Mus musculus: one gene and its partner. The protein of the gene in region 2 interacts with the protein of the main gene of each other region in a pairwise test. Links are inferred from orthologs where the notes say so. Each region holds a gene or a part of one and is shown on either strand. Other genes may lie near its edges.

Region 1 (3,653 bases), on a different chromosome or scaffold from region 2:
TGGCTCCAAAATACTGAGTAAGCTCTTCCCACTGGGTCTCATTTGAGGACTGCTCACTGCAAGAAGATAAATTAACTCTATGTACATAAATTATGGCTCTTTTTACTTTGTCTATTTTTAACTGGTTGCAATAATTACACTTCAATGACTACTTCTCATGTCTGATCATTACCAAAGGTAAGTAGTGCAGCAATCTAGAAAATCCCACAACACTGCTGAATAGTAACTACTTTAAAATCTACCTACCTGTGAGATTCCTTTTCATTCTTCAATTTGCCTAAAAGAAATTTAGAGTGTCAATACTTAATTATGCAGCTATTATTTCAAAATCATGTTTTAAGAAATTAATTCAATTAATCAACTTAAGAGTTAGCATAACTAACAATCTAAATTTAAAAATAAACACCTTTTTTGGAGCGTTTTCTTTTTTTCTGTCTGAATCTTGGCGTTGAATTTTTCTGTTCAGAATTTTTTTTATGCAATTCTTGAAATTTCTATGTAAAAGGAGAAAAGATGTGTGTGTGTGTGTGTGTGACTGAAGATAAACATACAGTTTAAAAAGGAACAGACATGTTAAATAGAAATCCTTATGCTCTGCCATTTCTAAAGCCACCAACTAAGGAATTCTGTTCTTGAAATACTTTAGTCCTCACAACTCTCAGCTGAATTGGGGCATTCACTGGTTTTGATATAAGCTGTTTGATAGTGGAGAATGAAGCTCAATAACTCATATAATTAAAGGAAGAAATAAAGAAATAAACTCCTTTATCATGTTAGGTAGATAATCCTATGAAGTAGATAATCCTATGAAGGTTTTACTACTTCTACTTATGTAAAATAAAACTAGTATCCAACAGTAGAATCTGTTCTGAGGCCCCTCTACTGTCTGTTATATCCCAACATACTTTGCCCACAGCACAGAGAACACATGAACATGCATACTTTCCTAACCACACAAAGGGAAACCTACATTCCATATGTTTAAGGGAATCCCAGAAGGACACTTCTCATATGCATCCGCATCAGCCTCTGTCTCCGTCTCTGGCTGGCCTGTCGGGAAGTCTGACACTGCTGGCTTCGTACTGCTGCCAGTCTTTCCATCTTCCTGTAAATTATGTTCTGAAGGTTCTGGGTTCTCTAGTTTGATTTCATCCTCAGAATCTGATTCAACATCACTTTCATTTAGTCCAGGAGGTAACAGCCCACTCCACATCTTTTCTTCTAATAGGAGAAAGGGAAGGATGAATTCAAACTCAAAGAGTAGCCATGGAAACTATTTTAAAACCACTAACAGATACCACAGGAGACCAATATGTCTGCCAATGACCTAAGGACAGCCAATTTAAACTTTAAAATCTAAAATGGATAAAACAGAACCCTGATTTTCTTAAGTATGGACTCTTCTGCCTAAACGACGCTCAGTAAAGCACTCATGGCTCAAGAATGTCAGTAGGAACTTAAAACAATGTAGTTTTAAATTTTTATTTTGTTTTGTTCTTTTACTAAGACAGGGCCTTACTCTAGAGCCCAGGCAGGCCAAGAATTCCCGAAGACCCTCCTGCTTCAGCCTCCTAAATGCTGCAATTATACACGTGAAACATCACAACTAATTTAAGGCTCAAAATACCATGTTTCTCACTGTGCCCATAAAAGAAAATAAAGGTGGATGTGTCATCTACACTGAAGCATATATAACTTTCAAAAGGCATGTTGTCTAAGAAGCAGGAAAACAAAGAAAAAAAACTAAGTTGTACATCTGTATTTTAAAAGGTGTAGCAGTATGTGCCAACAAGATGGCTCAGCAAGTAAAGGCACTTGTCATCAGCCCTGACGACCTGAGTTCCACCGCACATGGTAGGTGAGAGACAACTGCAAGATGTCTTTTGACCTCTATCTATGTGCTATGGCATGGACACCCACACCCATACACATATATAAATGTAAAAAAATATAATTAAATAAAATTTTAAAAGTGTGGAGGTAAAAGAATATATCCTAGTTTTAAATTTTACAGTTTGGTAAAATTAAATGAAATATAAATCTAAAATTTTAACAAGCATACAGCTCTCTTGAGTAACAATAGTATGTATTTGGGAAATAAGTTTAACATAGTATTTGGCATTATCTGTATTGCCCAATGGTATAATCATTAAGTTTCATGAAAATGACTTTTAGAATTCGTGTAATCATGTGCAAAGATTATCAAAGTTTCATTTGATCTCCATAATACAGCCTATTTTTTCCATACAACTGAGCCCAAATTGATTGCATTTCTCATATTTCATCATCAGTGAAGAACAGAAAGCTATCTTGCTGGGTCTCCTCATTCTCTGCAGGTCACAGGTATCAGGATCTCTGCATTACTCTGAATTACATATTTCTTTTAAGGACCTCCTCAGATTCAAAGAAGCAGTATTTTTGTGTTTTAGGATATGTTTATCAGTATTTGACTTTCTGAAACATTCTCTTGCTTTTTAAGAAGACTCAACTGGACTCCTGACTCCAGTTCCTCTAGAGGAAGAAGGAAATTACTTAACAACCCTGATCCTCAGTTTCTTCATCTGTGGCACAGGATAATTACACTGGTTCGTCTGAGGATTAAATGAGATACAGTACTCCACAGCATTCAGGAGGCTCTAGGGGCTCAACGTTTAGTGTTAAAATTTAAAAAATAAATAAATAAATTTGAACTGTGCGTCAAAAAGAAAAAAAAAAAAACCAACTGTTCAGTGGTTCTTGCTATCATTTCTGTGGCCATGAATGCATTTTTATCACTCCTAGTATGGACGAAGAACCCATAAGATACCTCTGAAGTTTCTAATATTTGAAGCGTTTCATTTGTCAACTGATACGAATCATGTTCCCCACCCTGATCTGCAGTCTGACACGAAGCTTCTCTGAATAACCTTGTGCTTGGCCTTCTGAATAGAGCAGTAAAATAAGAGGCAGACAATCAGACAATGAATGAAACTCAAATATTAATGTTTCTCACTTATAAAGGTTTGCTCTAAACTACAGTGTGTAACTTTCCATCCAGAACATAAGTTCAGCTCAAAGTAGAGACCCCCAAATTATAAGTGTTTTGACTTATAAAACCTGCATCTCCTCCAAGCTTGGTCTTAGGTTTTAAAAGACAAGATGAATGAAGTCTTGAGATACACTGTGAAATGAGCCAGCGAGAACAGCGTAGTGAAGCATCTGCATCACCTTTAGGTTCGTTATCTAGTTGAGGATGTTAAAATTAACAATTTCAGGCATTTTTTAAGCATGCCTGGGGCCTACTATAGAAGAACTGCCCATGGCAGTTCACTGCACGCTAGATACTCTCAAGAGTCTAGGAACCAAAGTACACAAAGGAGAACCAGGAGCTTCACAGACCAGAATCCGCACCGCAGCATGGAAATGTCACTCGGCCTGGGCCTTAGACAGCATGGCAGGCTGCTGTTTGAGCACATCTGGAGTTTCACAATCTATATTCTGGACATTCAAATGTGATTCCCCAAGGAGAGCGGTCTCAGGTACCCTATAGAAGGTATCATTTCCTCATCAGTTTTCAGGCAGCTACCCAGTTTTCACGGCTTTTTGAACTTTCTCAAAATTACTCTTATTGACTGATGATAAAGCATTTAATATGCTGATACGGTATTTTCCTG
Region 2 (3,653 bases):
CAGCTTCCCAGCAGTGATGGGCTGTGACCCTGGAATTGTAAGCTAAAATAAACTTTCTTCTAAGCTGTTTCTCTCGGGGTACTCTGTCACAGTAGACAGAAATGATATCAAAGCCAGTACTCTTACAGATAAAGTCCATCTAGTCGTCCCACTACTGCTATTAGGCACCAGCAGCTTGTCATAAGATATTGAAATGCATAGAGCTGGCTAATGTTCTACACAGTGAGGTCAGGAGACTTGGGAATCTGATCTGAACCATCGAGTCAGTGCTTCATAGACAAAGAGGGTCACAGGTGTACTCTGAGCCTGAGCATAGAGAGGCAGGTACCATCTGGAGCACCCCCAGTTCTCTGGGGGACATGAAAAAAAGCTCAAGGTGGAAAATGTAACTTTAATGTCCTTCCTGGGTGCCAGGGACTCCGGTGGAGTCAGCTTGACAGATGAAAGTCTGAAAGCTTTCTCATGAGGAAAAAGTTTCAAGGAAACTTACTCCTGGATCTTTGGCTATTTCCCTAACCCATAAAATTAATTTTCCAAACCCACATTAGTCTAGTGTATGGATCCACGTGCACTCTATATAGCTTTACCTTATAGTAAATGCCTTTTAAGATTGTATTCTAACATAGCTAAAGCCCTTTTCCAGTGTTCTTAGATTCCAGATAGCAGCAAGGAGCTTAACCCATTCAGTAAACAATTAAGCACTTGCCATTTTACTCAGCTGTTTACAGATAGAGACTAAAAGTCTCACTGAGATAGAAATCTTTTACTACAGGCTACTTCCATGTCAAGTATAAGTTGATATACTACCCTGATAAGGGGAAACTCTCCAGACAAGATAAGTTTTACTAGACCTAAGAATTTAGAGCTCTGTGATAGCGCATTACTCTTAAGGCCTGTCAAGAGTTAACAACCCCCTGATGCTTTTAACCTTAAAGTGTGAAATTCTTGCCTGGCATTAGGCTGATCCTAGGCAGGGCTTGTTATCCCTAATGTAAACATTTAATTAGTCCCTGTAAATTCCTTTCTGCTGTAACTGGTGAATTTCAGTGTATCTTGTCTTTTTGTGATTTGTATCCTCTGATAATTCGTTGTTATATAAGTCTGAAGCTCAACCAGAACATTACATTCAGATTCAACACATCTTTCGTGTATCTGTCTGTCATTTTCATCCAAACTCTTTGTCCATCTGCCTAAGAAATCCCGTTCTTCACAGACCAGGGACCCAGATTGTCTGTGGCACCTGGGGCTGCACTCATTTCTTCTCCTAGCAGGGCTCCTTCCTAGCATGCTTACAGTTTACCTGCATTTTTAATGAGCAGCATCCTCTAAAGAAAAGCCTTCTCATGACAACTTACTCATCTGACCAGAAACACAAATTTCTATGATAATATGAACATAAACAGTAAGAGAGAACATTGGTGGAAGGGAATAAGAAAGCAACATATTATAATTTATAAGCAAGAATGGCCTCTCTCATCATAGTAGAGCTGCGGAAACTTATGCACATGTTTTATTTATATATATACATACACACATATGTACACACATATACATACATATATATATATATATATATATATATATATATATATCACATGTATACTCATATAAAGATATACAAAGTGTAAATACATTGCTATGGTTTGGATAAGTGCCAAAGGCCAAGACCTATGAGTTACAGATTGGTCATAGGTTATTAAAGGGAAAAAAAAAAACTTTCCAAGCACTTAAAATCAAGCTTCTTTTAGGAAAATCAAAGGTAAAAGACATGGCTCAAGTGACAAGTAAGGAATGTGTACACAAATAAACCAGAGATGACAACTAGGTTTCACCTGAGGACCAGGTCCGACATCATTATTTGATCATTATTACTTGGAACAACATGATAAAAAGGTTCATTTGTAAGGAGAAGCCTGACCATGACCATGGCCTGTGGCTGATGCCGTTTGTGGGTATAAGAGGAACAGTCAAATGTGTGCCATCTCTTTGGCATCCCTGGAACAGAGGATGTCCGGGAGACTACCTGAGACTCAGGACCATCACTTACATGTAGCCATCAACCATCCTCCTGGCATAATGTGAGGCCTCCTCATAGGCCTGGAGGTAGGAGAGGACCTCTGATGCAATGCTGAGCAGCCGAAGCACGTAGAGGTTGGTGTCGGCGAACACTGGCTCCTGCTTCTCCAGGCACTCCCGACACAGCTTCACAACCTGGAGGGAGACACAGCTTCATTCATCATTACAGTACCAGAGTATGTCTTAACCGACACGTGGAACATCAAGACAACACTAGACTCACTCTTTGAAACCTGGTGGAAAAATTAAAACAAACTTTGTGGTTTGAACTAACAAAATGGTCTGCGTGGCTAAGATATAGGCATGGGAAAGGATAGAGTCGGGACATAAAGATGACACAACAAAGAGAGGAGTTTTCAGTCAGTAGACAGCAGAGCTATGGAAACTATATATGCATGCATGTGTGTATATCTCTCTATATATGCTCTCTCTGTATATATATAATATGTATATATACATATAATATATATAGTATGTATATGCGCATATGTGTGTGTGAATATATGCAAAGTAAATGTACTGAGATTGTTTGGGTAAGTGCCCACCCTAAGGCTTAGTCATCAGCCTGTGATGTTCTTGGGGGACAGAAGTGAAGAGGGTAGAACAGAGGAATGGAGTCCGGGGACTGACACCCCTCCACCCTTGCTGTGGCTCCTAACACATGCCTTTTTCATAGATTCCCTACCATGCAGAACACTTAGTTTTCATGGCTTCCTCCCATCTGACAGGACTCAGGGGCTAAGGAGACTGCCTTACACTGGGCACCATAGTAAGGGCTCATACATAGTAAAGGAGAAGGAGGAAAAGAAGGGAAATGAAGCAGGCATGAAGTAAAATTAACTACTATACTAACACACCCTAGTGGCAGCCACACCTGGCTCATCCAAGCTGCACAGCGAGCTTGGGGGAAGGCACTGACTCACGGTGCTTCTGTTCTATTTCAGTGATAGATCCCAGCTCAGAGGGCAAGACACAAGAATAAACTTCCAACATGTCACTGCGATTAACTTGTCAGGTATGATGGTATATGCTGTCATTCCCATACTCAGGAAGATAGAGAGTTGAAGGCCAGTCTCTATTACACACAAAGACCTTGTTTCCAAAAACCAACCCAGCATTAGCTCTGCCGACCACTTGGCTGCACACTGAAAACCTGTGGAGGCTGCAAAACCTTGATGCCTAGATTCCTCTAGCAGAGACTTTTAGAGAAATTGTCCTGGTTGGGGGAGGGCATGAGGCGTTTACACAGGTGATTATAGTATACAGCCAGAGGAGCCAACGTTGAATGCCCAGTGTGCAGCGACAGGGTGTAAGAGGCTTATACTCAGTGATGCAAAGGCAGGCAGGCCACTCTCAGTGTCCACTCTTCCATTTCTGATGACTCACGAGCTGTCACGGGCATCTCCCCAATCCCTAACTCAGGGCCCGGCAGCTTCTGCTCTCCTGGGCCAGATCTCGTTGGGTTCGGCGGGCATTGAGAATATGTCCTTAGTGGGTGCTAAGATGGAAGGGCATGAAGAGAAACAGCCTTCCAGGAGTGCAACTTGTTCAGTGGTCTCCCTTTTCTCTTCACATAC

The links. The genes of interacting proteins can lie anywhere in the genome.
Region 1: the proteins of Smyd1 (region 2) and Fam204a interact in binary tests that used the Homo sapiens proteins (3 or more experiments, as listed by UniProt). The link is inferred for Mus musculus from reciprocal best matches to the Homo sapiens genes SMYD1 and FAM204A.

Annotation. Positions count from the first base shown.
Region 1 is NC_000085.6:60,220,084-60,223,736, forward strand, and holds part of Fam204a (protein FAM204A), read right to left. Parts: intron 1,222-3,653; 5' UTR 1,214-1,221; coding exon 971-1,213; intron 495-970; coding exon 407-494; intron 278-406; coding exon 247-277; intron 57-246; coding exon 1-56.
Region 2 is NC_000072.6:71,217,211-71,220,863, forward strand, and holds part of Smyd1 (histone-lysine N-methyltransferase Smyd1), read right to left. Parts: intron 2,212-3,653; coding exon 2,048-2,211; intron 1-2,047. UniProt on the Homo sapiens protein: Methylates histone H3 at 'Lys-4' (H3K4me), seems able to perform both mono-, di-, and trimethylation. Acts as a transcriptional repressor. Essential for cardiomyocyte differentiation and cardiac morphogenesis.